Arabidopsis thaliana: one gene and its partners. The protein of the gene in region 2 binds, or shares a complex with, the protein of the main gene of each other region. Each region holds a gene or a part of one and is shown on either strand. Other genes may lie near its edges.

Region 1 (7,869 bases), on a different chromosome or scaffold from region 2:
GCTTTCCCTCTAGTACTCTCTGTAGGCAACGAGTCTGTTTCCATAAGTTTACTCTCAAAAGTTATGTTTTTACAGGAGAAAGAGTAATGAGCTTTACAGCAAGGGTTGTGGTTATCACTTGGTACTTCATTGTTCTTGTGCTGACTCAGAGTTATACTGCCAGTTTGTCATCGCTTCTCACAACACAACAGCTCAATCCAACTGAAACGAGCATCAAGAACGTGCTTGCAAAAGGAGGACCTGTGGCATATCAGAGAGATTCATTCGTACTGGGGAAACTGAGAGAATCGGGCTTCCCTGAGTCCAGACTCGTGCCATTTACCTCTCCAGAGAAATGTGAAGAACTTCTGAACAAGGGACCATCAAAGGGTGGTGTTTCTGCAGCCTTCATGGAAGTACCATACGTGAGAGTTTTTCTTGGACAATATTGCAAGAAATATAAAATGGTGGAGGTGCCATTTGATGTTGACGGGTTTGGCTTTGTAAGTTCCATCACTTCTCTTTGGCTTGCATACAATCCTTCCTTTTAATGATGCATATAACTAGTTTCGATTCTGTAGGTCTTCCCAATTGGATCGCCTCTAGTAGCCGATGTATCAAGGGCCATTTTGAAAGTGGCAGAGTCTAACAAAGCAACTCAACTTGAAACTGCGTGGTTCAAGAACATAGACAAAACTTGTCCTGATCCAATGAACAACCCTGACCCAAACCCAACAGTCTCCTTCCGAAAGCTCAGCCTCGATAGTTTCTTGCTTCTATTTGTTGCTGCAGCCACTGTCTGTACCCTTGCCTTGTTGAAGTTTGTGATCTGTTTCTTGATTCAGAATCGGATTATTTTGAATGACGAATTCTACCGTGGCAAACGAATGAAGGAGATGTGGTTAAAGTTCATGGAAAGTGATGGTGAATCATACATTAGCCGTGTGAGATCAACATGTCCTCAGGTGTTAATACAACCCAGGGAAGAGGACATTGATCCCATTAACGGCTAAAAATCTTTGAACTTTTTTCTTTATCTTCTTCATGTAGCCAAAGTTACCTTTGTATCATCACAGCTCACTGATTCTAGTGCAATCCTTTAAACACACACTTACTAACTCCTAACCTTTTCCAAGTTACAACGAGACTTGACCATATGTGCATCTTTTCCCGGCGAGCCAAAACCGACTTTGAAGATTGTCGTCAATAGTATCAAATTAATGGAACTCAGAAGTCTTAAAATCCACCAACTTTGCATGCTTCTTCAACCATTTTGTATTAGTATAGAAACTCTTTCTCCTGTAAAACCAAGATATTTTAGCTAAGTCATGCGAGAAGAAATTGGACAGAGACTTTACATATTACAGACAAAAAGTCGGCATATAGAATCATTCCAGACAACGTTTATGGTCCTGTATACATATAAGGAGAATGTGCTCAGAAACCACAAGTACCTATGTCATATAAAAAACTTGAAACTTACCTTAACTTTTCAGCCTCAAAACATTTAAAACAAAACCGACTCTGAAAGAAAGACAGAAACAGAGAGAGACAGAGAGAGTGTGTACGAGGTGACACTCGAAACCGGGAAGTAGTGGCTGGAAGAAATGCGGATTGGTCGGAGACTGAAGTGGAGGATTCACCATTTCAAACAATTCAGGAGGAAAAAAACTCAAGAATCTTCAACTTTCTTTGTGATGAAAAAACCAATGTGTTCTTGTCTTCAATGTAGCGTTGTAAAAGCTGACGAAAGGTTACTAGATTTTTCAGATTGTTGTCTTCTTTCATGTATTTCTAGGTAAAGAATATTCGGACATGAGAAAGTGAAAAAACAAAACAGAACAGCTTTTTTCAATTGCTAAATTCCAAAAAGTAACTTTATTATTGAGATGCCGCGGTTACAAAGGGGGATTGTCTAAAGGTATACAACAGAGTGTGGCAATGTTTCAAGTTAGATCAGAAGCACTTAGGTTCATCATTGCTAGATGGAAAATATACTTTGTGGTTTTTCAATCCTACAGTATCCAGTTAATCACAAGGATGGATACTTATCTTATTTTCACGACTTGGAGACTTGCAAGAATGGTGGATAAGTGATGTAGAACCCCAAAAATCACCAGAGAACAAACAACAAACGAATATACATGTAATGTAGTAATTGAGGACTAGCAAGACAAGTGAGTTTTGTTTTTAACTGAAACACAACAGAGAATCAGGGATCTGAGACACATGACCGTCCTTACTAGGCAAAGATTTTGAGGAATTCCTGGTTTCTATTCGTCCCTTGTTGCAGGGTCCATTCCAGTCGAAGGGCTATCAGCAAAATATTCTGGATGCTTCACGTTCACACCATACTGCCAAACCGAGTTTACTCACGAGTTAGCTTCCCACTACTAGTTAAGACGAGACTGTAAAACCTTACCTATCTACCTACACTACTGCAATACACAATATTATAACCACTAACTCTAAAACATGTTTCTAAGCATTTTATGTTGATTCTGTGATACTGAATTAGTTTCATGCCATGTGTATTTAGAGTAATTTGCAGCTTAAGTAAAAAAAAACAAGAGACATCTACATTTTCTTCTCATACATTGGAGGTCTGAGGGACAACAATACCAGAAGCATGAACTTAGAGGAAGAAGCATTTACCTCACGCAAAGCTTTTGAAAGATCTTCCATTGTCAATACCAAACGCTTATCCTGTTAAGGAAACATTAATATTCATGTCATCATCCAAAACATATTTGTTGCAGTCTTGCAGAGGGAAAAAAAACAAAAGGGAGTCAGATGTTACCTTTTGCTGTTTTTTGTCTTTCACAACTGGTGCTGGTCTAGCCTTGCAATGCCTGTATATAATTGACAATTTTTATTATTCAGGAGCTTATATCAATGCTTTTAGCTTCTGGGAAAATCTAGCGTAGACATCTTTTCATCTCATCTACTCAGAATGGGCAGTGTCTTCTCTTTCTCAATTACAAGTCAAATATGAAAAAGGGTATGATAATTCGTTGTGAAGAGAATGAAAACTTACTGAAGGGCGTCACTGGCAACATCTGCAACAAACTTTTGTGTAGCCACAGCAACTAGCCTTATCCTGTCAAACAAGTAAACAAAAAAACAGAATATTGGCAAGAATAGATACAGGAAAAGATTATGACAGGAGTGAAAAACTCAAAAACTAAAATATACCAATATTCAGCACTCAATTTGATAGAAAGAGAAGAATCCCCTCATTATTCTACGCATTCAAACTGAACTCTGAAGTTTACATTCAAATTGCCAATCTTTTTCAGTGCTAGTCCAACATAGACTTCTTTATCATACCATTTTACAGGAATGTTAAACAGGGCAAAACCTTAATCCAAAATGATTTAAACCAAGCCATTGATCTAACTACTGGTCACCCATTCTAAGACCCAACAATGATTCCATTCAATATCAACTTATCTGCTCTTTCATTGTAAGTATCAGATATAACTTGTCGGAAATACCTACAATCGTACGTCGGGGCACTGAAATCCACTCTTAGCCAAGTAGTGCTCCACTAAATCATCAGGAATCTGAAAGAAAAATAAAAATCCAGAACTCAATCAATACCCAAATTTCAGTCATGTAGAGCCGAGAAAAAGTTGTAACTAGTACAAAGGAAAGTATACAGTAGGAGTATAATCCATCAGAGAAGCAAGGAACTCTGTAAGAGCAGCATCATCTTCATGCTTTGCCTCACCAGATTGTTGGCCGTGATTCATCTCTCCCACCACCAGAGTACTGAAGCGAAGCAACAACTGTAAGTAAAGAAAGGTTTTCAAAATCAAACATTAATAAAGAACCTCTGAACTAGTATCTACCTCAAATTAGAAACTTGTACGAAACCTAAGAAAGAATGTCATGACTCATGACACAATTATACCAAAATAAGTTTTACGAGAATTTTGACTACTGAAACTTTCCAGCTCAATTTACTAATTCTCTGTTCCAGATTTGTCTTCTCGTATGACATTATTGTTTCTAAGTAACGAACTATTCCTGATTTGTGTTGCAAAAGACCACACCAAGTTTTGAATTGAACGACGTGAAGTAAACTAAGAGGGCTCTGATTCATCAAGAAACAGCATTCATGAGCAAAATTCGATACCACCCAAGAGAAAATTCAACCGAAAAAAAGACAAAATTGAGCTGAAATTGAAACCAGAGACATAGAGGAAAAATTCAATAAAGTAAGCGATAATGCGAACCTAAACGAAGCAGCAACGGAAGAGAATTGAGCTGAGACGAGGCAAATCAATGGTAAAGAAGAGAAGTTTCGACGGATTTCGGGCGGGTAGAAGAAAGGATCGGAGATCGACTAGTGAGTCTCCGTTGAAACCCTAATCCTCCGACTGGTCCAACTCAGAGCCATCTCCGCCGGTCAGATTTTTAAGAGTTGAGAAAGAATCGTTAGATAGACTAATGGGCCTATTGATTTAAACTATGGCCCAAACTTAAGGAAGTATTCTTCACATATGGCCCAAATTTAGGTTTTTTTTTTTCCTTTTTCACAATCCATTTTTTATTCTCTTCCCATAAAATCAATATTTGAGTTTAGTGTATCTAAGAATATCGAAACGAAATTGTCAATCAATAAAATCTCAAAAATGTAACTTTAGTGTATAGTGTTGTACAATCTGCTGTATAGTGAGCTTTAATTTGATGGGAGACAAAGAATATGACAATGAAAGCACTAACTCCATCTAGACGGAATATTTAATGACCAACAAAAGCAGTTTTTGTTTTTCTCATTTGTCAACTCATAGTCATTAGAAAAAGACTTAAGGGTAGTTTTATATATTCTACGAGAAGCAGGTGGTAAATTCAGTGAAGAAGGATTGGACTAATTCTCTCCATAAAAACATAAAAGAGAGATATGTATATGATGATACTTTATTTCACGGGATTCCATTTGTTTGTTTGTTTTTGGTTAATGGTGGATTCCATTTGTAGGTAAATTAATGGATAAATACCAGATAAATAAATCCATATTTTCTCAAATATGCTTCTTAGACGCTACGTATTATGTATTTACATTTAAATCATTTTCCAAAAGCTTTTTTTTTTTTGTATAAAACCAAAATAAGAGACAGTTTATTCAAGAAGCTAGTTTACCTAGTTATATCAAAGGGGCCAATCAGAATCTAATGTAAACTATATCCAAGTCTCATTGTCATGGAAAAAGGTTTGATTTAATTTGACGATTTTTAAAAAACGGTTGTTCAATCGCGGCATAGGAATATTTTTGGCTATAGGCTAGGACAAGCTATATGGATTGATTTGAACTTTCTCTTTAATTCTTTTCATCAAATTATGGAATATTATATTAAAACCTAGATATTTTAAAGAAAAAGAAAAATTGTATGCAAAAATTTAATTTACTTTTGGAATACGGATTCTAAATTTTTTTGTTGTTTAAAATAGTAAAGAAAAATAAAATATATCAATGAAATCAGGAAGAGGCAAAACATGGTGGCCAATCAAATCGGTTTACTTCAGGCGATCGACGAGCATTTCTAACGAAGCAATGTTCATGTGATCTCAATGGAATATCGACTGTTGTCAATGTGATCGTAACCATACTTTTAAGTTCTGCACTGTATTCTAATTTCTACACAACTATGTTATCTCAATTTTTAACTACTTCCTTCATTATTTACCTCCAGCAAGTGAAAATTAAAAGACCGATAGACAAACAAAAATACATAATCTAGTAAAACAAGTACTAAAAATCTAACATGGTAGAAGAGAAATTGTGTATGTAGGTTCTTTGCAAATAAATCGTGTGTATACTGTATAGACTGATAGACTATTCCTTGTTTGGGGAAAAATGGCTATACACTTATAATATTTTAGAAGTGTCACAAAATAGAAAACTATTTTAAAAAGTAACTTTCTTGGATCGAAAAAATAATAATATGATATATGGTAGGGAAATTTTTACTAATTTTATTAAATTTAATAGGAAGTATCATAAGCACCCATATAGATATGCATAAGTTTGAAACAGAAAATTTGTAGGTACGGTTAGTCGGCTATAAGAGTGGCTTCAATTTGCTTGATGGATTTTTTGTTTTGATAAAATGGTTTGTAGATGGACTTTATTAATTTCAAACATACATTACACTAGTTAAGATAACACCACTTAATCAAGTAATATTTGTATAATTGTAGTTAACTGAAAGTCGTGACTCATGTGTTGTTGTAGGGTTGATTACTACTTTGGCTTTAGATTTCCTCTTTTTTAATCGTACTTTAGAAAATTTGTGGTGCATAATTAAGAAAATTTGTAGTGCATAGTTCCTTATCTAGAAGAAGAGAAGTTTGTACGTCACCAAACACCCCCCAAAAACTCAAGTTGCGAATATGTTCGTTTGCTTAATTAAATATATGTTTTCTCCCATCCAATTTAATATCATATTTTTGTCGCTAATCTTCAATTAACTAGATTACTTATGATAAAGTTGGAATATAAACAGCAATACATGTAATAATTATTTATGTGGATGTAATCTACACGAGCTTTCGTTGGTGATTGGTCGCCTCTTGCCAACAATTTCTGTTATAGTTGAAATGTATTTAACCATTAAAAAACATGAATGAAAGTTACTAGTAAGAAAGAACTGGCCGTTCAAGTACAAAAGTGGAATCCGATTATCCACCGAAATTGCAATTAAATATTGGAGATTTGTTTTAGGAAAAAGATTGGCATGCTATATTTATAATTAAAATTTTGATATGCGTAGAATAAAGTTTGTGGAGTATTTCATATCCAAGTGGCCTTGCCTCATACGAAACTTGCCCTTTAGTAAAGCAAACAACGAGCGTAATGGATATTGCTTAAATAATACCAAAGTTACATGTTTCAAAAAATCGTATTAGTTTTCTAAATGCCCTTTAATTAGCCATCACTAAATGTACTTTGAAGTAATGAACTCGTAAGTTTGATATGAGAAATCATAGGTTCATGGTCTGTAACCTCGATCACCACGGTACGGTCTAACATCTATCGATTAATTTCCAACTAACAAGTTCATCTTTCTCTTGCCCACACTTCACTTACACGATTTTCACTAGTACTAAGAATACATATTCAATAGGATATTTGATGTTTAGGTAGCGTCTAACAATTTTTGAACTTAATTTGTTTAAGCCATTCAGATTTTTGAACGTTTCCATTTATATGTATGAGAGGAGTAGGGACGAATAGTACAAAACGACGAGCGGTGATTGTCCGTGCAGAAAGAAAACGTACCCTCTACTGCTAAAAGGTGCGAAGTGGAAGCTGACGAAACGTGGGACACAATCACACAACAAAACTATACAAATATTATTTTCTCATGTTAATAGTGATTAGTGGAATGATTGCCAATGGACAATGCGGCCTTCTTATCCCTTGTTGTTTTTTATTGTTTTCTTTTTCTTGTAAAAAACTTTGATACTGTTTTAGAATTAAAAAAGAGGTAAAAACTTTTTTTCTTCTAAACGATGCACGAGTTCTTTAATGATGAAGATTGTGAAACTTGCTATACTCATATGAGATGGGACCTGTATTTTTTTTATTTATATATAAAACTATTATTCTCTCACTGACAAGAAATTCCCAATTTTGATTTTGATTTATGTTTTTAAATAACAATATCTTTTTAAAAATATCTCTCTATCTTGCTTTTTTAAAAACACAATTTTTCTGATTGCCTAAAAATAATTACCATAAAAATCAAACATGTCCCGGTCTTGTGGATCCAGTCCCATGATACTCATTTTCTTGCTTTGTTTTATGATTCTATTTTGTTTTCGACCGAAGTTTATGAATTAAAACATGACAAAAATTTATTTGACAAGTAAACGTTACAT
Region 2 (9,324 bases):
GAGAAGGCGAGAATCAGCACTCATCAAATTCCCTTTGTAAAACAGATATAAAAATGAGCAGATCACAGCAACAACTAAAACCAACACATGGAAATGGTAAACAGAGAGCAACAGTCACCTCTGATTCCCATATGCAACTATGTTCTAAGACATATAACAATCACGAAACATAAGGATACAAAACAGAACAGAAATTTGTGATTCGCAAGAAAAATCTTGTCTTTCCATTGATTCACAAGATTGAGATGATCAAAACTAAGAATTAGTAAAATTGATCATAATTACCTGAACAGATGCAATACCCTGATCAGATATTTCAATAGGAGGAAGCCAAGTACTGTAAGAATAATGCCAATTCATACTCAAATTACAAGTCGTCCCTGAAGCGACGATGACAACACCTGTCTCACCAAGCTTAACATAAGATGACGCAACGTCAAGCTCGTATATCGTGAGATTCGAGACAACAACATCGATTCCTCCAAGGAACGGGATTTTCATAGATTTCTCAATTCTGGGAATCTGGAGAGGTATAATCGACGCGATAGCTTTGTTAACTAGAAGATTTTTGACGAAATCGAGTCCGTTTTGAGATACGAGAACCGATGTGAATGAATCGGTGCTCTGCGTTTGTGAAGGCAAGAAGAAGAAACTTGGTAATAGAAGAAAGAGAAAGCATCGTCCAACATCCATGGCGGATATTCAAAGCTTTTTTTGTTTTGGTCTCTCTATCTTCTTCGATGAAGAAAACAGGTTAATACAGTGAAGTTGCGTAATGGTTTGGATTATTGAGAAATGTCTAAAATAACCTTAGTCATTCGATTTGCATTGCCTTCTGGGGTAATCTGATTCAAAAGGAAGTGTTTGGGGTGAATACATAAATTGTTAAAATATTAATGTTTCTGGTCAATCAAAGCTAAAGCTGAGGTCTATAGGGCAATAAAAGTATAAATACATATGTAATTGTATATACTGTACATATTAACGTTTGATATGTATATAAGCTCAAGTGGTGTTAAATATTCTAATATGTGTCTAAGGACAATAGTTCGATTAAAATTGGAAGCTTCGGGGGTAAGAACATAAGTTTTGAAAAGTATTTATCTTTGTGGTAAATCAAAGCTAAAATTGAGGTCTAAAGGGCAAAAGGGTGTCATAATTGGTCTCTCGCGGTGGCTTGGCGACACGGAACAGAGAATTAATCGAGAATCTTTTTCAGCTTGTAACCGGAATTCATGGCGATGCAAGCCGGTGTTCAGACCTCTAAGGTCCTTATCCTACTCGGCGCAGGTCTCTTTCTCACTTTGATGCTTGTTTTATTATCTTTGCTTGTTGTAATCAAATTCGATTCGTATTGCTTTGACTCTCTAATCTAGGGAATTGTTTTATGAAGAGTTAGGGTTTGAATTTATCTTGGCAAATTGATTGATCACTTTGCTAAAATGGTCCAGAACTTCTAATCTTCAATCGTTAGTGTAGTTTTGATGGTAATACAGCTTGGATGTAGCAAGAATGATTTAGTTATTCTAGCTTGGATGTTCCATTTAATGACCTTTAATGACACTTGGTTCTGTTTTCATCATGTCCAAGGTGTATCTGGTTCGATCGTATTGAGACATGGGAGGTTGTCTGACCTAATAGCCCAACTTCAAGACTTACTCAATGGTGCTCAAGGAGTTGAAAGCACTCCTTTTAAGTATGACGGTGCACTCCTTGCTGCTCAGGTATTTCATTTTCTTTTGCTCTGTAAGCTTATTTTTCTCATCGATCCAACATAAACAATCGGAATAGAAAATAATTCATCACTCTTTATCACTAGGCCAATACTGGACTCCCCTCTTAGTGACATAATTTTTGTTGTCTCTTGATAACCAGATTCGACAGCTTGCAAACGAGATCAAAGAACTAACTATGACCAATCCAGTTACCATCTTTAATGGAGATTCAAACTCCAGTGGTATGTACAAGTCTTAGTTTCTCATAAAATATTTATGTACTACTTTTGATAATGTAGGAAATGTTTCAAATATGTTTATTTTTTATGAGAAACAGAGAATGATATAATCTTTGCTTTTGCTCTTGTAGGCTATGCATCTTACCTGGTTCCAGCGGCTGCCGTTGGAGCTATGGGGTACTGCTACATGTGGTGGAAGGTGTTTATCTCTTTAAAATCTGTCTATTTTTCTCTATGTTTCATGTGTCTTTTGTTATAGTTTTGTAACATGTGGTTTACCGGTAAACTATATATCATTGACTTCTAAGGTTTACCCACATTGCAGGGCTGGTCGTTTTCAGATGCAATGTTTGTGACAAAGAAAAATATGGCTGATGCGGTTGCCTCTGTTTCGAAACAACTAGACGATTTGTCAGACACATTAGCGGTGAACAAATAATTTTTTTGAGACCTTCCTCTGTTATATATTCTATTTCATTATGATTTTTTGACCTAGTGCATTTGTTTACGCAGTCAACAAGGAAACATCTTTCTCAGAAGCTAGCGACCTTGGATTGGAAGGTGGAAGAGCAGAATGAGACATCTAAAATGATCTTAAGTGATGTAAGGAACCCGTTTTATTTCTCACTTTCTTGTATTGATGCCTTATTTTTTCCTTAGACTTAAGATTAGGATACTTATACATTCGTCTGAGAGAGATCTCCTCTTGTACATTTAACATCTTAGAAGAATTTAAAACACATTTAGGAATTCCAAAAGATTGTAGAGTATTTATTTATTAACGTCCTATCTCTTTGGCCCTGAACTGTTTTTCTTCACATGTACAGTAGAGTCCTTTGTTTCTTTCAAATTACAGCTTGATTCTCATATCTGCGATTTACTCCATCTATGCCTTTCTTTGATATTCATTTTAATGCTAATGCTCACATGGAATCTTGCTTCAATTCAGGTTACTGAGATGAGATCAAGCATTTCGCAAATTGGGTTTGATTTTAAGCAACTTAATGAAATGATTTCTGGAATAGTAAGTCTCATCATTGCCCTCTAATATGCATCATTGCCCTCTAATATGCATATTTTAAAGGGGCTAATATATCTTTACTCTCTTATATGAAATTTTTACAGGAAGGGAAGATTGAAAGTCTTGAAAGCAAACAAGTAATTTGTCTACAACCATTAGATACTACAAACCACTTCACGCTATCAATTTTCTTAAAACTAATTGATCTCAAACAGATATTTTTTTTGTTAAAATTTTAGGATGTGACCCTCTCTGGACTATGGCATCTATGTCAAGTTGCAGGCGTTAAAGACAGCACAAGTACTAAAGTATTTCAGGTGAGTGTTAACTTACAAATTAAGTGAAACGTTTTCTTACTTATTTTTCACGTAGTTATAGGCCTTAATGAAAAAAATCTTGTTTCTGGCTTTGTGGTTTAGGATGTTGGTGAGAGATTACCTATTGATGGAAAACCATCCACTAATACTTCTCTCTCTGTAAGAATGCTACTATACCTTTTTCCATCATATAAATGTGCATTTCCATTCTGTTGACGCAAAAAAGTTGCTTATAGTGAAAAAATTCAACGAGATGGTTGATCTTGAATTTGCATATATTCAAGGCAATCTCTCATCAAGCTTATTCGAATAAAAATTGGAACCTGAAAATACTTGTGGTAGTAGCTGTTATTTGATGATTTCATGTCATGATGTTTCTTTGGCTTTCTAAAACTATAAAACTATGGAAACTCCAGGGTCTGCGGTTTCTGACGGAAGGCAAAGAGGATGCAAATGTAATACACAAGCCGGTTATGGCGAAAGAAATTATGGTGATGGGGGAAAAAACAAAAGTCACTGCAGCGGGAAGAAGCAGAGTTCATAGAGCGTTTCCAGGTGGAATATCTTGGGTACGGGATGTTTCAGGACTATCCTAATATTATTTTGGTTGATATACAAAGAAATTGCTTGTATTCGTCCCAAATTCTGATACTGGGACTGGCAATTATTTTTTCATGTAAAAAGAAGAAAAATCTACATATGTTATTGCATCCACCAACAATTTGGTTTGCCCCTAATTATATTTGGTCTTGATGTTTGTAAAGAAAGAGTGTGATTAAGGCTTTCACGTATGTTGATGTCTTCATTGATTTGGACTTTTGTGCTCCTTTTTCCTTTTGTGTTTGGATCAATTTTGTTTGTGTAGAAAATAGAAAGAACTACCACAGAAGACAGAACTACTGTCTTGAAACATTTGTTTCGTCCTTTCTCGTAGGATTAATTGTCTTTAGTTGGCAGAGAAATAAAATATTTCGCTCTTATTGGGCCTTGGCCCAAAATAGATATAGAGACAGCCCAAATTTAATTTAACCCGAAATAGTCCAACCGGGTGAATTTGACAGCAATTAAAAAACCCGGCCCGGCTTCTTATATTAACAAGAGGCTTGGCATCGGTTAATCGGAGCTTCTTTCCTCTCAAGTGAAGTGTCTGGATCTTCGTCGCTCAACGCAAATCCCTCTCCGGTTCATGTAAATTTCCAACTTATTTTTGTGCTCGAATTTTGGTTAACGGGACAAATTTCACACTTTTACGGAGTATGGAAGCAGCCTTTGTCTTCTGGGCTGTTGAATTGCGATTCATTGTGTATGCCCAACAATGGTTTAATTGGGAGGTTCCAATGATTTTTTGTGCTTTTTTCTTACTTAATATAACCACTGTTGATGTTTCTTCTGTGTCCTTGTATCGCCACAGTGGATAAGCAGCCTGGGGAAGATGAGCATTGTACCTAAGGAAACGGTTGAGGTAATAGCTCAAAGTATTGGGATTACCAACTTGTTACCTGAAGCTGCTCTTATGCTTGCTCCTGATGTTGAGTATCGTGTCCGAGAGATCATGCAGGTTACCTTCTTTTTCTAATCATGTCTTTGTGTTCTTGAGGTGAGTTTTCTGGTATCAGCATATTGATCTTTCTGTACCTTCTCTTTGGATGTCCTTTCAGGAAGCTATCAAATGCATGCGTCACTCAAAGAGAACGACTTTAACAGCTTCGGATGTAGATGGTGCTCTCAACTTAAGGAACGTTGAGGTACAAACTCGATGACCTATTTCTTACTTCCCATTATCTAGAGTTTTGGTTGTGTAAGCTTCCTGGTTTTTGTAGTTGAGTGACAAAGATATATGGTTTCTAGTTTTGAGGTTTGGCTTTACTGGTGCATATGAATAACACCATCTGTTACACATTGCTTTCACATATTTCACTATTGTAGTCAACTGAATCAAAGGCATCTTTTTGAGAGTGATTATATCTATTGCAGCCGATATATGGATTTGCCTCAGGAGGGCCATTTCGTTTTAGAAAAGCTATTGGACATCGCGATTTGTTCTACACTGATGACAGAGAAGTGGATTTCAAAGATGTAAGATGTTGGAAAAGCTGGCATGTTTTTTTTGTTTCAGTTAAATTCTTCATTTTGGGTTCCTTATGTTTTCAAGAAATGTCATGATTCTAGGTGATCGAAGCCCCGCTGCCAAAAGCTCCCCTTGATACTGAAATTGTTTGTCACTGGCTGGCTATTGAAGGAGTGCAACCAGCTATACCAGAAAATGCTCCTTTAGAAGGTTTGTCTCTCAATCTTATGCCCTGGGCTAGAGTTGTAAAGTCATTATATGAATTTTTCAACATGAAACAAATATTAGTATGTACAATGACGTTTCAGAGGTGTATAAACCTCTTTCTACAGTTACCCCGTGTTAAGTGGTGAGCTTACTGATGTTACTGAAAGATCAAAATACATATTTTCAGATCCATCTGTATTATTGTTTTGCGGATCCGCATGAGCAAGAAATCCTTGTTCTTTCCTATCTTGACTATATTTTTCACTTGTTTGTGTTGTCTCTAGTCATTAGAGCACCTGCAGAAACCAAAATCCATGAACAAAAAGACGGACCTCTTATTGACGTTAGGCTACCAGTGAAGCATGTACTATCTAGGGAACTTCAGGTATATGGTGCAGTCTAAATATCATAGGGTAATATCCTTACATACATAGGACTTATCTGTTGTTCTCTCTTCACAGTTATACTTCCAAAAGATTGCTGAACTTGCAATGAGCAAGTCAAATCCTCCTCTGTATAAAGAAGCATTAGTGAGCTTGGCCTCAGACTCAGGACTTCATCCTCTAGTTCCATATTTTACAAATTTCATTGCTGATGAGGTAACATTATGCACCACCGAGGAACTAGTGTGAACCAATAAGACCCACGTTAAGTTTTTGCAGTTTTAATTTTCTCCACTTGTGCAGGTTTCAAATGGCTTAAATGACTTCCGACTCCTGTTTAATCTAATGCACATTGTTAGAAGTCTTCTACAGAATCCTCACATACACATAGAACCTTATGTAAGTTTTCTCTGGATTATCTTTTGCCACTATCTAAAAAATTGTAGAATCATGTAGCTCCATTTTCTTTAGGCTTCTGATTTGGGTTTCTTCAAGTTCTATATTAGACATATTCTATATAATGGGTATCAAATGGTTAGTGGTAGTGTTTGTCCGAGGTCTGCAAGCTCGAGTGCTTAAGTACTCTCAGTCTGCTTGAAATAACAACAAGTTTTGCCTTTGATCTGTATTGAGATTATGTAAACCAGCCTTGGGATAATGAGTTGGTTGTTTGAGCAATGTTTCATAACCATGAAGCTGAGTGAACTTTTTCTTTTGGTGCCAGCTGCACCAGTTGATGCCATCTGTTGTAACATGCCTTGTATCAAGAAAGCTTGGAAATAGATTTGCTGACAACCACTGGGAACTCAGAGATTTTGCGGCAAATCTGGTTTCACTGATATGTAAAAGGTTCATTATTTCCCTTTCATGTCATGAACTCTGTGTTTGTTTTGGTTGATTGTGGGGATCTATACATGATTTCTTACTGGAGCTAATAATGAAATTCTATAAGGAAATATCATGAGATGATTATCCATAGATGTTCTGCTAAGTTTATCTTGTTTGATCTCTTTACTATTGATATCTACTTCTTTTTTGCTCGAGCTGAAAAACAAATGGTTAGATCTATATTAACAACAATTAGTAATAACTTGCTATAGTCTTCTTCATTATTTAAAAGGGTACATTGTCTCGCACTTTTATTTTACATATCTCACCTTTATATTCTTTTAGCATCTGAAATCCTGTGATTTTAATAAAATCTTGCAGGTATGGAACCGTTTATATAACTCTTCAGTCTCGTCTTACCAGAACTTTAGTCAATGCACTGCTGGACCCAAAGAAGGCTTTGACTCAGCACTATGGTGCGATTCAAGGATTAGCAGCTTTGGGGCACACTGTTGTAAGTCATTCCTTGACCTTTCAGAAAGTTTGTGCATGCTATTTCAGATATCACCGAGAAATAATGTTACCCAGCTTGTCCTTCAATCTAGGGACTTTTCAGAATCTGAGATACAATTTGATTTGCCCATACCATTTTTCCGGGTTTGCTTATTCATTTTATTGGGAAATTAGGACTTTTATCGTCTTAAACGGCTACTCCAGTGAATCAGATACCCCTGCTACCAAAAACTTTAGCACAGCTATCCTGCATTGTTATCTGTTGTCATCTGAATGTCATATATTGTGTAGGTACGCCTTCTTATTCTATCAAATCTCGAACCATATCTAAGTCTTCTCGAACCTGAATTGAATGCTGAGAAGCAAAAAAATCAGATGAAGATCTACGAAGCTTGGCGTGTATATGGAGCCTTGCTGGTTAGTAAACACATCCTTGTAAAATTTCATCTTTGTAGAATTCTCAGTGGACAATCCTTAGATGGACTTGCCCCCTTTTTCTTTTCAGCGTGCTGCAGGCTTGTGTATACATGGCCGGCTTAAAATCTTCCCACCTTTACCATCTCCGTCACCAAGTTTTCTCCATAAGGGAAAGGGAAAGGGAAAGATAATCAGTACTGATCCCCACAAGCGGAAGCTGAGTGTAGATTCTTCAGAAAACCAATCACCGCAGAAAAGATTGATAACCATGGATGGGCCAGATGGTGTACATTCACAAGATCAATCTGGCTCAGCTCCAATGCAAGTAGATAATCCAGTGGAAAATGACAATCCGCCACAAAACTCTGTTCAGCCATCCTCATCAGAACAAGCCTCTGATGCTAACGAATCTGAAAGCAGAAATGGAAAGGTGAAAGAAAGCGGCAGGAGTCGGGCTATTACCATGAAAGCAATCCTTGATCAGATATGGAAAGATGATCTTGATTCCGGACGGCTATTGGTGAAACTGCACGAACTCTATGGTGATAGGATTCTTCCCTTTATCCCTTCTACAGAGATGTCAGTATTCCTCTAACCAATAAGAGGTGAGCTATTCTATTCCCCAACTTCCTGATATTTACCTCATCGATATAAAACTCATGGTTCCAGTCGTGAATGCAATAAATATGTGAAATCAAAAGAATAATGATACTCAATACATTAATGCTAATGAAATAGATGTTTGATGATTTTCAAGCAGAGAAGGAGGCTTGGAGAGATTAAAGCGCCGTCTGGTTGGCATACATAAACTCATTTAGATCCGTGCCATTGTTCTCAGGTCAACTCTTTAGTTCTTCTTTTTAAGCTTGAGGGATTTCAAAGTCCTTAGGAGCCTGCAGAGTGGGTTGAGTTGAATTGAACCGGTTGCAATGTATATATTAAGAGAATTTTAATGATTCCGTAGTGGACTTATTTGTTTACTCTCAAATGTAATCCATGAAATAATTTCTCTTCAAATCTGTATGATCTAGATTGCAATTTTTGATATTGTTGTTTACATGTATGCTCTCTTGCTTATTTACTCTTTACATATAATATCCGTTCATAGATTATATCTATTGTTGATCCTTCTGGTCCGTTGCTAGAAAACTTTTGGGCAAACTACAAGGTTTGGTCTGTATTACATTGACTATAAAGAAGATCTGAAAGACAACAAGATTAATTTATGAGGATCTATAGGAGGATAAGACTGAACAAAAGTTTCGGAGACATTCTTAAGTTAACTATCTTGTATGTAAACAATCAAGTTTGCTACAAACCACAGAACAGCCTAGTAATCTGGTTTACTACAAAAGAAATACCTGTTGATCAAAGCCCAGACCGAAAACTTATGACCATCAGTGCTGTGGCTTATTGCATTCCAGTAAAAGCTTTGGCTATTACCAAGTATAGCTAATGTGCTCGAACAAGAGAGCTTCAGGCATGAACATAATCCTCAAAAATGTTTCACAGAGAGTAATTCCTTTTTGCCAGAACAAGACTATGACCATCATTCGACGATTTCCCCTTCTTCTAAATCTAGTCCATCAGCGATGAAATCAGTATCTAAATTTTGG
Region 3 (6,830 bases), 820 kb from region 2:
TGGGAATGGGGAAAACAATACAAGCCATCTCTCTCGTTCTTGCCAGACGGGAAGTTGACAGAGCCAAATCTAGGGAAGCAGTTGGGCACACCCTTGTGCTTGTTCCTCCTGTTGCTCTTTCTCAGTGGTTAGATGAGATTTCTCGGTTGACATCCCCGGGAAGCACCAGGGTTCTTCAATACCATGGGCCGAAGAGAGACAAGAATGTTCAAAAGTTAATGAATTACGACTTTGTTTTGACAACATCTCCCATAGTTGAGAATGAATATAGGAAGGATGAAGGAGTGGACGAAACAATGTCTCCTTTACACTCTATTAAGTGGAATCGTATCATCGTCGATGAGGTCAGTACCAAGACCTGCTGGTTCTTCTTCTTTTCCATTTTCAAGCATGTAAGGAAAGGGGACTGTGAGATTTATTGTACAGTAAACCACAGCAGGGGAAGCTCACTGCAAATTTGCTTTTTGTGAATCTTTTATCCTTCAGGGGAAGCTCACTGCAAATTTGATATAATTCCCGTTTGTCTTCATATCAGGCTCATGATATCAAAAACAGAAGTAGTCGCACTGCCAAAGCTGTTTTTGCTTTGGAGGCGACCTACAGATGGGCTCTGAGTGGTACCCCTCTCCAGAATGATGTTGACGAGCTCTACTCCCTGGTTAGTTACTCTTTCCTCAACTTTTTCTATAGCACGTAATGATATCTCAACATTGCTGATTGTTTGTCCCAGATACGCTTCCTTCGCGTTTCGCCATACTCATATTACTTTTGCAAGAAATGTGACTGTGAAGTTCTTGATCGGAGGTAACATCTTACCACTCTCAATTCCTGGTTACTTTCTCCTTTCCCATACTTCTGTTTGATAGTTCATAACAATCTTTGCTGTTTCATTTCCTTTGTCCATTGCCTTTGGGCTTTGGCGGTGACTGCAGTGCGCATCGAAAATGTCCCAGCTGTCCTCATAATGCAAATCAACACATCTCTTGGTGGAAAGAGGTAACTTTGAGGTGCCATTATTAAAAACATTTTAAAAGCAGGATCACCATTATGTTCTTTGGTTTTTATATTTTCCAATCTTGCTAGAATGTGGACAAACGGAGAAACAGAGCCTGTATATTCCTTAAACAAAATGTTCTAAAGGACATTCTACTAAGACGTACTAAATTGGGCCGGGCAGCTGACCTTGCTCTTCCTTCTAGAATCGTATGTTCCTTTCTCTCCCTTGTCTGATATAAATGAAGCTTGGTATAGTTGCTTCCGAGCTTGATCTCTACATATAAATTTAGATCTCTCTGAGGCGAGATGCACTAAGTGTAGTAGAAGCTGATTTCTATGAATCACTATACAAAGTTAGCAAGACAACATTTGATGGGTAAGTTACTTTTGTTCTATGGATTTTCACTGGTTTCTGCTCCATGCTTTGTGTAAACTGAATTTTATTATTAAATCTGACATGTACATTTGTTTCTGCAGGTATATTCAGGCTGGGACATTGATGAATAACTATGCACATATATTTGGTCTTCTTATCCGACTGAGACAAGTGAGTGGTATCGATAGTTTTGTTGTTCTATTTACAAGCCAGTGCATGTTTTGGATGATATAGGTATATAGATTTCTGATGCATTTTCTTGCAATTTTTTCAGGCTGTTGATCATCCATACCTGGTGAGTTATTCTAGTCCTAGTGGCGCTAACGCTAACTTGCTTGATGCGAACAAAAATGAGAAAGAATGTGGTTTCGGCCATGACCCTTCCAAGGACTACTTTGTAAGTGTTCCAGTCGATATATTGTTGCTATTTCATACTATCTCGACTCTTGTTTCTCAGTAACTGTATCTTCTGGAAATAGCTGCCACCATTTTACACTTTCTTAAAGAATCATCGGATGACTAATGTTGGACTTAACTTGTTCGGTTAATATGTCTTTGGTTCTCTTACTTTGAAGGTGACTTCTAGTGAACATCAGGCAAGCAAGACAAAGCTTAAAGGATTTAGAGCCTCTAGCATTTTAAATCGGATAAACCTCGATGATTTTAAAACAAGTACAAAGATTGAGGCTTTGGTATGTGCCCTTTGAGATCTACAGCTTCTGTCTCTCCCACGCTTAAAGTTTCTTTGGAGATTGGAGGCTTTATCTAACCATTTGGTGATAAAAAAAATTTGTATGCAGAGAGAAGAAATCAGGTTCATGGTTGAAAGAGATTGGTCTGCCAAAGCAATAGTATTCAGCCAGTTCACATCATTCTTGGACCTGATAAGTTACGCCTTGGGGAAGGTAATTTCAAGCGCAACCAACTACAAAATGCTACTACTACTATATCTGTGCTCCTTTAACATTCTCTTTAATCATAATGAGACATTGAATAAAAATGATTGACTCATTTTGTACAACGCAGTCTGGGGTTAGCTGTGTTCAACTGGTGGGAAGCATGTCCAAGGCAGCTAAAGATGCTGCACTCAAAAATTTTAAAGAAGAGCCAGATTGCAGAGTTTTATTAATGAGCTTGCAAGCTGGAGGGGTTGCTCTAAATCTAACAGCCGCTTCGCATGTAAGAAGTGTACAACTTATAAAACAGTTGCTCCTAGAACATGTTTTATTCACTGACATTCGGGTGTTTGATTGTATAGGTGTTCATGATGGACCCGTGGTGGAACCCAGCGGTTGAGAGGCAAGCACAGGACAGAATACATAGGATCGGACAGTGCAAGCCTGTCAGGTTATATTTTTGAGTTGTCCTTCAATATACTGTATGTTGTTTTGGTGGGGGAAGAAAGAAGAAACATTTGGTTGTGTGACAGGGTTGTAAGATTCATAATGGAGAAAACAGTAGAGGAAAAGATACTAACGCTTCAAAAGAAGAAGGAAGATTTGTTTGAAAGGTTTCTTATTTTAAACGATACGCTTCTCTCAACTTTGCTGGTTTCTTATTGTCAACTGTATGAAGCCTATATGAAGACATATTTGCTTTGTTACAGTACGTTAGGTGACTCTGAAGAGGCCGTTGTACAAAAGCTGGGAGAAGACGATATCAAGTCCCTGTTCGCATAACCAAATCTTGTAGATGAAGAACATGATAGAAAATTTGTATAGATAGAAAAAAGAGTCTTGACAGGACAAAATTAGGCTCAAGCTAAAAGATTTGATACATACTTGTGTAATATGATGAGCACCGGATAGATTGTATATGAATCGGATCACAAACTTTTCCTTCTCCCGAAGAATATTGAGCATGAGGCCATGGCCGGTTTGAGCCATACCGTGAGAACTTAGTTACAATGTCGGTCGACTAGTGTACGGGTTTCTGGTTTAGATTATGGGCTGGTTTAATATAAATGGGCCTATTTATTAAGCCCAATTACTTCGTATGTAATGCAATGTGCTTCTTCTACGAGAGAGAGAGAGATCAGTGAACAAGTCCCCGTTTCTTCGTTCTCATCATCTTCATCGCCGATTTTGCAACGACCACCTCTGCTACTCCCGTCGATCAATCTACGGTGAGCTCTCTGCTCTCACTATTCCCTTTTCAATTTTCATTCCTTTTCCATGACGACAAATATTTGGATAAAGAACCTTATTCGATTTAACTCCGTTGGTTGTTGTACTGTACCGGAATACAACTTTCCGGTAGCTCTCTGGTTTTGATTGCGGTAGAAATCTAGAATATAGGCTCGGAATTTCATTTTCTAGTTGAGATTACACTGTTTTTTCTTTTTTGAAAATTTTCACCTAGGGTTAGTATTTGACTCAATTGGATTTTGTCGGTAGAGGAATTTCACTTATTTTTCTATTATTTTGCTCTCCTGGATTTTGATTATCAGAAGAAGAAGAAGAGATGAGTAACACACCAGCAGCGGCGGCGTCATCATCGTCTAAATCGAAAGCTGCGGGAACTTCTCAGCCACAGGAAAAGCGCAAAACTCTCTTTCAAAAAGAATGTAAAGTCTTTAGTTAAAACCAGATTTTTGTATTCTTCATTTTGTGATTCTTCTGGTAACAATGGTTTTGGTGCTTTTGTTGATTTTTCAGTGCAGCATATGATGTATGGATTTGGCGACGAGCAAAACGTAAGCCGCTATCCTCTTCATTACTATTTTGTTGCCATATGAACCGTATTTGTAGATATAGTTTCATTCCAATACAAGTAACGAATTAGGTAGAGAATCTTTGCTTTAAAGGGTTCTTGGTCGTGTAACATCTTTTAGTGTTTTACCACCTGAAACTGATCCAAAACTCCTCTGTATTTAGCCTCTTCCAGAGTCTGTGGCGCTTGTAGAAGACATTGTTGTGGAATACGTCACAGATTTGGTAGTGAGCTTTTTCTTTTTGTGAATGATTCATGTTTTACATTACAAGCGGAGAGATATTAGCTAACAAGTGATGTTTCAATGGCAGACACATAAAGCTCAAGAAATTGGTTCAAAGCGAGGAAGACTTCTAGTTGATGATTTCTTGTATCTTATCCGCAAGGTAAAAATTCTTTTTAAAAAGTACACAATCGATGATTGAGATGGTTTATGGTTTTGTATTCTATATCCGAAACTTTGGCGTCTTTGATTTATGCAGGATTTGCCAAAACTGAACCGCTGTAGAGAACTGTTGGCGATGCAGGAAGAGCTGAAACAAGCACGCAAAGCTTTTGATGTCGACGAAAAGGAACTCGTTGATTGATCTTGCTTTTCCTCAACGGGAGGAACAAATGCTAGGTAAGAGGAACCTCATGGATGCCGGACTAGGGACAGCGTTTTAGGTTGTAATCAGAATTCGAAGCACAGTAGCAAAAAAAAAGTGTGTTGACTTAAAAAAGGTGAAAAAAAATCTTGCACAAGGCCGACTCATATTAAATGTAGGCCCATTAGAAGAAAGCCCATTATCTAGCATCCCGTATATATCTACGGACGACCTTTAATTTTTCTTGAGTCAGGAATTTCGAAACCCTAAAAATTTAGAATAACCACCCGATTTTTGTTTCTTTCATTAAATTAATTACCGCAATAATTATAAAATTAGTCATCATTATAAGACTTTTGTTTTTCTCTAAATTTTTCGTCATCTTTCTGATATTTTGATTCATTATTTTACCATGGAAACAATAAATAAGAATGGTGATCAATTACCAACTAAAGAAAATCATTGTGATCAATTAGAGATAGAGCAAATAAACAACACGAGCATGAAGAAGAAAAAGTCATCACGTGGGATGCACATGTTCTCCGTCGTCATGTTCATGCTTCGTCGCCGCCGGGGAGAAAACCCTTCAACACCAGGTTCTGGCGGCGAGTCGTTAAGTCCGTACGTAAACTCCGTTTCGAAATTACGATAATGCCATCGTCAACTTTTACTAACACAATTGTTCTCCCTCCGGCTCCTCCTCCTCTGCCAGCGACAGAAATGGGAGGAGACGATGGTGATAATGATAATGAAGATGATGATGATTCCGAGGGTCGTTTATCAGAGACTATGGAGGTTTTCACGGCGGCTTCATCTTCATCATCATCAGGAATCTCGGGATATGGATCAGCCATGTCCTTATATGATGATGATATTGATGAGGAAGAAGATGAATGTTATAGTGATGTGGAAGGAGGAGACGATATGATTGATGAGAAAGCTGAGGTTCTATGCAATAATGAAGATGCAAAATCAGGTTTACACTGATCGTTGCAAAGCCAAAGGGATATATAGTGATGCATTAATGATCTTATTAATTATGGTTCGTATCATCTATCAAGTTTACGTCATCATCATTCAGGTTTTAATTTCTTGGTCATTTTTGGTTTTTGTATTATAATTTAATTTAATTCCTTTTAACTTTTTCTTCATTTTTGTTTCTGTAATTAGTGAGTGTATTTGAATTCATTAATGAGAAAATAGGAGAATGAAGTATATCTACTAAATTCTATTTGTGTTTGTGGGGAATGTTAAATTTGGTTTGCAGATTAAAGATCTCGTTAAATATTTTATGTTCAATGTTTTCAATCGGAAATTGGTCATATTAATAGCACATTTGACCAATTCATTGAATCGAGTTCTTTTCGAAAATTGAAGACTTTGATAATACCAACCGTTTATATTATGCATGGACATATGCGTAAGTGAAAAATCATACTGAGCGATGGTAACAATTACACAGTTGATTCCATTTCGTGAAAAACTCATAGAAACAACGGTGACAAATGAAGTTTCCATAGCCAAGAATTGGATCCTCGCCATACGATTAACCTACCGAGATGAACCAACGGTGATCATCTCTCTAAACTCCAAGACCAATCCTCAAGATGATGCAAAAATCTCGACTCTTCAACTATGCATCAAAACCAAATGCCTCATACTCCAACTACTTCATATGAAACAAAATACCAATCTCGGCGAATGCCTTAGTGATCTATTTCGTGATGAGAGGTTTGTTTTTGTAGGAATAGGTATTGCTAAAACTGTCGCTAAGCTCGGTGGGCTAGTTAGAGTAGTGGTTAAGAAAGTTGACGTTCGTGATCTGGTAAAGGTAAATTTTCCATTTAGTTATGGTGAGAGGTCAAGGGTTAGCTTGAAGGGTATGGCTTGTGAGTTGTTGGGATTTGGTTCGTGGAAACCGAAGAGGGAGATTTGTCCGAGAGACTTGGCTAATGAAGTTCTTGATGTAGAGGTGGTTAAGTTCTTGTCCGTTGATGCTTATGTTTGTCATGAAATAGCGTTTAAGATGCTTAAATACCAGGCCCAATTTATTGTAATCAGATTCATAAAACATTACTTTACTGAGCAAACGTTGGGCCGATATTGGGCTAATTTATATAATAAAGCCTCTTTATTAAAGTCAAAAGACAGGTCAGCAT
Region 4 (6,456 bases), on a different chromosome or scaffold from region 2:
AATCTCAAGAACTTGGAGGTTCTGTTTCTTCAGACCAATGAGCTTACAGGCTCTGTTCCTCGAGAGTTAGGGAACATGACAAGCCTCAAGACTCTTGATCTCTCCAACAACTTTCTTGAAGGAGAGATTCCTCTAGAGCTATCTGGACTTCAAAAGCTTCAGTTGTTTAACCTCTTCTTCAACAGACTACACGGCGAGATCCCTGAGTTCGTATCTGAGCTTCCTGATCTGCAAATACTCAAGCTTTGGCACAACAATTTCACCGGAAAGATTCCTTCGAAACTCGGATCAAACGGGAACTTGATCGAGATCGATTTGTCTACCAATAAACTCACAGGTTTGATCCCTGAGTCACTCTGTTTCGGAAGAAGACTAAAGATTCTCATTCTCTTCAACAACTTCTTGTTCGGTCCTCTCCCTGAAGATCTTGGCCAATGTGAACCGCTATGGAGATTCCGTCTCGGACAGAACTTTCTGACAAGTAAGTTGCCAAAGGGTTTGATTTATTTGCCGAATCTTTCGCTTCTTGAGCTTCAAAACAACTTTTTGACTGGAGAAATCCCCGAAGAAGAGGCGGGAAATGCGCAGTTTTCGAGCCTTACTCAGATCAATCTGTCCAACAACAGGTTATCCGGACCGATTCCTGGTTCAATCAGAAACCTCAGAAGCCTTCAGATTCTTCTTCTCGGTGCAAACCGGTTATCGGGACAGATCCCTGGCGAAATCGGAAGTTTGAAGAGTCTTCTCAAGATTGACATGAGCAGAAACAACTTCTCAGGCAAGTTTCCTCCTGAGTTTGGTGATTGCATGTCACTCACATATTTAGATTTGAGTCACAACCAGATTTCCGGTCAGATTCCGGTTCAGATATCGCAGATTCGGATTCTAAACTATCTGAATGTTTCTTGGAATTCCTTTAACCAAAGCCTTCCCAACGAACTCGGATACATGAAGAGTTTAACATCAGCAGATTTCTCACACAACAACTTCTCCGGTTCAGTACCAACTTCAGGGCAATTCTCTTACTTCAACAACACGTCATTCCTTGGAAACCCTTTTCTCTGTGGATTTTCTTCAAACCCTTGCAACGGTTCCCAAAACCAATCTCAATCTCAGCTACTTAACCAGAACAACGCAAGATCCCGAGGTGAAATCTCCGCAAAATTCAAGTTGTTCTTCGGGTTAGGCCTACTAGGGTTTTTCTTGGTGTTCGTCGTTTTAGCTGTGGTCAAGAATAGGAGAATGAGAAAGAACAACCCGAATTTATGGAAGCTTATAGGGTTTCAGAAGCTCGGTTTCAGAAGCGAACACATATTAGAATGTGTTAAAGAGAACCATGTGATTGGGAAAGGCGGACGAGGGATTGTCTACAAAGGGGTAATGCCAAACGGAGAAGAAGTTGCAGTCAAGAAGCTCTTAACCATAACCAAAGGATCATCTCATGACAACGGTTTAGCCGCAGAGATTCAGACATTAGGTAGAATCAGACACAGAAACATAGTGAGATTGCTCGCTTTTTGTTCAAACAAAGACGTGAATCTCCTTGTTTACGAGTATATGCCTAATGGTAGCCTCGGAGAAGTCTTGCACGGGAAAGCTGGAGTGTTTTTGAAATGGGAAACACGGTTGCAAATAGCGTTGGAAGCGGCTAAGGGGTTGTGTTATCTTCACCATGATTGCTCGCCACTTATAATCCACCGTGATGTGAAGTCAAACAACATCTTGTTGGGTCCTGAGTTTGAAGCTCATGTTGCTGATTTTGGGCTTGCTAAGTTTATGATGCAAGACAATGGAGCTTCCGAGTGCATGTCCTCGATCGCTGGCTCGTACGGCTACATCGCTCCAGGTACATGACTGATTCCTAATACTACTTTCTTGTATCACACGTAACATTCAAACTTAGGATTTCAGTACTTCTAGTTAAAACGTATGATTGATCTTAGCCCATTTTATCCGTTTCTTGAATGCAGAATATGCATATACACTGAGAATAGACGAGAAGAGCGATGTGTACAGCTTCGGAGTAGTGTTATTGGAGCTGATTACGGGTCGAAAACCAGTAGATAATTTTGGGGAAGAAGGGATAGACATTGTGCAATGGTCAAAGATCCAAACAAACTGTAACAGACAAGGTGTGGTGAAGATCATTGACCAGAGATTGAGCAATATTCCATTAGCAGAGGCCATGGAACTGTTCTTTGTGGCAATGCTATGTGTGCAAGAACATAGTGTTGAGAGACCGACCATGAGAGAGGTTGTCCAGATGATCTCTCAGGCTAAACAGCCTAATACTTTCTAAATGCAGTGATGTTATATATATAAGAGACTAAATATATATTTTTCTGTTTTATGTGTTTCATAGAGTTTTGTTTTTAGAATTTGTAATGATGGTTTGGTGGTGATATGAGTTTATATTGAAATTGAGGAGGAAAAAAAGGGTTAGCATTATATCTTCCTATCATAAAGTATCAAGCAAAACTAAATAACATTTGCTAGAAAATTATGAATTATGTGAAAGATTTGAAAAAATAGATAACTGTTCTTTGATTCATTTGGAATTATAAAAATCATGATGACCAAAGAAAAATGTTGAAATCACTCAAGCATTTGATTTAACATATGATTATCCAATATCTATAGAAATAGTTAGCATTTGAGTGTTTTTACTTTTTAGTATCCAATTCACTATCATTGATATTTTTAATTTTGTTGTCTAGCTCGATTTATAACATTTGGCTAGTTGTAAATCGTTATCCCAACATTGTATTCCAAAAAAAAAAACCAGTTAGTTATTCAGTGGTTTTGAACTGAGCCCAGCCCAAATCCAATGATGTGGTTCTCGAAACTTTTTGGGTTGGTTTAACAAAAACCGGTTCAGATCTTTTCTTTTGATCCACCAATTGATTGGACTAAACCGACTTATAACAGTCGCTACACTCCTATAGAAAAGCTTGAAATTGAACACAGTCGATGAATTTTCCTCTCCGCCTGGAAGATTGTGGAGCTCCCAGTTGTTGTTAACAACGGTCTAGAGATTCGTGTCTCTTGAAATTCGATCTGAGTTTCACCTTCAAGGTTCGTCAATGATCCGTAGCAATTTGCTTCGTTCTAAACCCTAATTTGAGATCTCAATTATGTGATTTTTTCGTTTAGGTTTTAATCAGGAATGAAGCATTCAAAGGATCCGTTTGAAGCAGCGATTGAGGAAGAGCAAGAGGAATCGCCACCGGAATCACCCGTTGGCGGAGGAGGAGGAGGTGATGGTAGTGAAGACGGACGAATTGAAATCGACCAGACTCAAGATGAAGATGAGAGACCTGTGGATGTTCGCCGTCCGATGAAGAAAGCTAAAACCTCTGTTGTTGTTACTGAAGCTAAGAACAAAGATAAAGATGAAGATGATGAAGAAGAGGAAGAGAATATGGATGTTGAGCTTACTAAATATCCAACTAGTTCTGATCCTGCTAAAATGGCCAAAATGCAGTGAGTCTTTGTAGAATTTTGATTGTTCTTCATGTTTCTTTGATGATTGATTGTTTGTTGAATTCTTCAGAACCATATTATCGCAATTCACTGAGGATCAGATGAGTAGATATGAATCTTTTAGGAGATCTGCACTTCAAAGACCACAGATGAAGAAGGTATATATGTTATATGATTTGTGGTTATCAACATTCTTAATTTTGTTTCATTGCAAATATGAACCATTTAGCTTTTATGTTAATGCAGTTATTGATAGGTGTCACTGGTAGTCAGAAGATTGGTATGCCAATGATTATTGTTGCGTGTGGTATTGCAAAGATGTTCGTTGGTGAACTCGTTGAAACAGGTAAGCCAGTGCAAAAATTTCCAATGATTTTGTTTATGTGCCAACAAAGCTCATTTACTGAACCTCAATACATTATCTGTAGCTCGAGTTGTTATGGCGGAAAGGAAAGAATCAGGACCTATCAGACCTTGTCATATCAGGGAGTCTTATCGGAGACTAAAGCTCGAAGGAAAAGTGCCTAAAAGATCAGTTCCACGCCTTTTCCGCTAGTCAACAAGAGCCAAAAGAGAACTTATATCAGCCTAAGACTGGGGAATTTACCAATGCTGCTCAAGGATAAGGGTCTACGGCAGGTTTAAGCTGGCGAGATTTGCCTATCAATCTCATCATAAAGGAGAACTTCTTTGGCTTCCCTGGTGGATCATATTGTTCTTTGATGTTCTTAACTTTGTGTGACAACTTTTGTAGTAAATCAATCTTTGGATACAGACCCTGAAATGGCTATCAGTCTTACGGTTTGGTTTTTATTTGGTTTACGTTTCCAGTTTTCATTTTCAATACAAGATCAATCTTTGACTACAGACCACATGGCCTAAAAGTGGCAATCCGGTTTACTAGGTTGGATTCGGTTTCATTTCCGGTTTTATAGAATTCGAAATCAAATAAAATCATTTGTAATCCGGTTTATTTGGTTAAATTTGGCTATACCTAAAAATTGGTTTTAGTATTGATTCGTTTTTGGTCGAACATTACAAGAACTGGGTTTATAAGTTCAAATTCAAATTGTGTATTTCTTCGGCGTGATTGAAAACCGTCGCGATCAGAATTCGGTCTACTGTCAAAATTGGTACGGAGACGTTTTGAATCACACAAGTTCCGGCGAAAGAGGATCTAGTGGGCCTGATAATGGGCCGATCTCGAAACGAACTATTACGTGAAGAGAAGAAAACAAAGTGGGTTGCGAATTGAAAGTCTACAGAAAATAAAAGGACTGGATTGGAAAAATAAAAAGAATAAAAGAAGTTTTGACACAATAACGCACCCACTATCTTTCTCCTTCCCTTCCGCCTTCCTTCTTCTTCTTCTTCTTCTTCATCCTCCTCACTGTTTAACGCAGAGCGCCTCCGTTTCTTCTCTTCTCCTCCTCTCTCTTTTCTCTCTACACAAATATTTTTCCCTTCTTTTTTCATTCTCTTTATTCAATATAATCCTTTTGATTCGCTGGTGATCGGTACGAGAAACTTAGAATCACACGAGGAAGCTGTGTTTCGTTTATCCTCGTTTAATCGGAATCGAAATTTGTTCTGGAGAAGAAATTTAACGAATCATAGATTCCTGATACAAAAAAAAAACTATCACAGATCGGAATCGGAAACGTAACCATTACATAATTCGAATCTGGTTTTCACTTGGGTATAATGATGAGGTTTCTCTTCTTCTTCTTCTCCGTTCTTCTTCTCTCTGTGTTTTTTCCATCTTCTCTGAGTTTTTCTATTTTCCACTGATTTGGTTTTCTGTTGTTTTCTGGATTTCTAATTAGTTTCTATGGATCTGAGTTTGATTGTAAAAAAACTTGAGATTGACTCTAATGTCAAAAACTTTTGATCTCCTCCAGATTTCGTCTTCTTTGGATTCACCAGTTTTTAACTAATCTCAATTTGATCCAATAACCAAATTGTTTTTCGCCTTTTGAACAAAAACAAAATAATCTCAGAGCTTCTCCGTCAAATTCTGATTTGGGTTATTTTCAATTAAAACTCAGAAGAATTTTGAGAAGATTAACTCTAAAATCTCGCATAAAACACAGACACATTTTTACAATTTTTCACAGTTCAATCTTCCTTTTCGTTTTCATGATTTTGATCTAATTATTTTTGTGTTTTTGATTAGGTATCAGAGAGTAAGCCCAGATTGTCTTCCTCTCACAAATGGAGGTAAGAAGCCTTACTTACGACCATCACCATCAAGAGCAACAAACGAAGACACCACCACCACCACCGTCATTACCACAACCTCAATCGCCGGAAGAGGATTTAACGGCGGATCATGCACAACCACCACCAACAACACCTCATCTCTAGACGGAGTCCCCAAAGGATTCCGATTCAGATCCACTCAACAGCAGCAACAACAACAAGATCCTAGTCCTAGCCGTCGCGGCGGTGATGTACTGTTACAGTGGGGACAACGAAAACGATCGAGAGCCTCTAGAGCTGAGATCCGATCCACCACCACCATCACAACCACCGCCGATGATTCTTCGTCTTCTTCAGGTCAAGGTAAGATACAATCAAACAAACCGCAAAGAAGATCGATGAATCCTTCTATGCCACCTCCACCACCAGCTCCGCCGATTTTCTCGGGCCGGAGTACAAACCCTAGAAACGGTTTCGTTATCGGCAAGGAATCTTTCTTCCCTTCCAGGTTTAGCCTCAAATCTTTCTTCATTCAATTAAATTTCCATATTTTGATATATTTACTTACCTTAAATGTTTTAGAATCGAGTTTGATTTGTCTTTTTTTACCTTTAATCGTTTAGATTTTGTTACTGTAAATTAATCCATATGATCGTGACTTCATTAGCTTCCATATATTTCTCTTTTTGTTCATCCATGTTATGTGATAAATAATGTGCCCTTGTTTTTATTTTTATATAAAGTAAAGCTATTTTTGATTTTCAAGGTTTG

What was found.
Region 1: TAFII59 (region 2) and TAFII15 share a complex: the UniProt entries of both Arabidopsis thaliana proteins name them as parts of the TFIID complex.
Region 3: TAFII59 (region 2) and TAF13 share a complex: the UniProt entries of both Arabidopsis thaliana proteins name them as parts of the TFIID complex.
Region 4: TAFII59 (region 2) and TAF11 share a complex: the UniProt entries of both Arabidopsis thaliana proteins name them as parts of the TFIID complex.

What each region holds. Positions count from the first base shown.
Region 1 is NC_003075.7:15,351,971-15,359,839, forward strand, and holds TAFII15 (TBP-associated factor II 15), read right to left. Parts: upstream 4,462-7,869; 5' UTR 4,221-4,461; intron 4,201-4,220; exon of another isoform or gene 3,834-4,200; intron 3,771-3,833; exon of another isoform or gene 3,754-3,770; 5' UTR 3,735-3,753; coding exon 3,642-3,734; intron 3,546-3,641; coding exon 3,481-3,545; intron 3,080-3,480; coding exon 3,017-3,079; intron 2,832-3,016; coding exon 2,780-2,831; intron 2,686-2,779; coding exon 2,635-2,685; intron 2,334-2,634; coding exon 2,253-2,333; 3' UTR 2,077-2,252; coding exon of another isoform or gene 2,001-2,076; 3' UTR 1,950-2,000; coding exon of another isoform or gene 1,869-1,949; 3' UTR 1,826-1,868; downstream 1-1,825. Other genes in the region: GLR2.4 (glutamate receptor 2.4), read left to right, coding at 76-482, 561-992; AT4G31715 (uncharacterized protein), read left to right, coding at 1,689-1,732, 1,869-1,949, 2,001-2,076. UniProt on the Arabidopsis thaliana protein: TAFs are components of the transcription factor IID (TFIID) complex that is essential for mediating regulation of RNA polymerase transcription.
Region 2 is NC_003070.9:1,402,585-1,411,908, reverse strand, and holds TAFII59 (TATA BOX ASSOCIATED FACTOR II 59), read left to right. Parts: upstream 1-4,377; 5' UTR 4,378-4,480; exon of another isoform or gene 4,481-4,703; 5' UTR 4,704-4,724; coding exon 4,725-4,850; intron 4,851-4,950; coding exon 4,951-5,037; intron 5,038-5,266; coding exon 5,267-5,368; intron 5,369-5,461; coding exon 5,462-5,570; intron 5,571-5,851; coding exon 5,852-5,952; intron 5,953-6,028; coding exon 6,029-6,166; intron 6,167-6,253; coding exon 6,254-6,349; intron 6,350-6,674; coding exon 6,675-6,799; intron 6,800-7,159; coding exon 7,160-7,292; intron 7,293-7,582; coding exon 7,583-7,708; intron 7,709-7,796; coding exon 7,797-8,303; 3' UTR 8,304-8,313; intron 8,314-8,468; 3' UTR 8,469-8,824; downstream 8,825-9,324. Other genes in the region: AT1G04970 (lipid-binding serum glycoprotein family protein), read right to left, coding at 286-693; AT1G04960 (golgin family A protein (DUF1664)), read left to right, coding at 1,485-1,724, 1,876-1,957, 2,086-2,153, 2,280-2,381, 2,468-2,557, 2,904-2,978, 3,080-3,112, 3,215-3,292 and 2 more; AT1G04945 (HIT-type Zinc finger family protein), read right to left, coding at 9,258-9,324. UniProt on the Arabidopsis thaliana protein: TAFs are components of the transcription factor IID (TFIID) complex that is essential for mediating regulation of RNA polymerase transcription. Required for proper pollen function. May stabilize the interaction of TFIID with selected promoters.
Region 3 is NC_003070.9:577,249-584,078, forward strand, and holds TAF13 (TBP-associated factor 13), read left to right. Parts: upstream 1-3,376; 5' UTR 3,377-3,497; intron 3,498-3,821; 5' UTR 3,822-3,835; coding exon 3,836-3,938; intron 3,939-4,029; coding exon 4,030-4,067; intron 4,068-4,248; coding exon 4,249-4,308; intron 4,309-4,395; coding exon 4,396-4,470; intron 4,471-4,566; coding exon 4,567-4,671; 3' UTR 4,672-5,062; downstream 5,063-6,830. Other genes in the region: AT1G02670 (P-loop containing nucleoside triphosphate hydrolases superfamily protein), read left to right, coding at 1-344, 536-658, 731-804, 933-996, 1,084-1,203, 1,287-1,372, 1,474-1,543, 1,647-1,769 and 6 more. UniProt on the Arabidopsis thaliana protein: TAFs are components of the transcription factor IID (TFIID) complex that is essential for mediating regulation of RNA polymerase transcription. May be involved in polycomb repressive complex 2 (PRC2) mediated repression.
Region 4 is NC_003075.7:10,950,626-10,957,081, forward strand, and holds TAF11 (TBP-associated factor 11), read left to right. Parts: upstream 1-2,914; 5' UTR 2,915-3,075; intron 3,076-3,153; 5' UTR 3,154-3,166; coding exon 3,167-3,483; intron 3,484-3,553; coding exon 3,554-3,641; intron 3,642-3,729; coding exon 3,730-3,829; intron 3,830-3,911; coding exon 3,912-4,039; 3' UTR 4,040-4,451; downstream 4,452-6,456. Other genes in the region: BAM3 (Leucine-rich receptor-like protein kinase family protein), read left to right, coding at 1-1,846, 1,971-2,299; AT4G20290 (uncharacterized protein), read right to left, coding at 4,534-4,959; AT4G20300 (Serine/Threonine-kinase, putative (DUF1639)), read left to right, coding at 5,188-5,195, 5,660-6,193. UniProt on the Arabidopsis thaliana protein: TAFs are components of the transcription factor IID (TFIID) complex that is essential for mediating regulation of RNA polymerase transcription.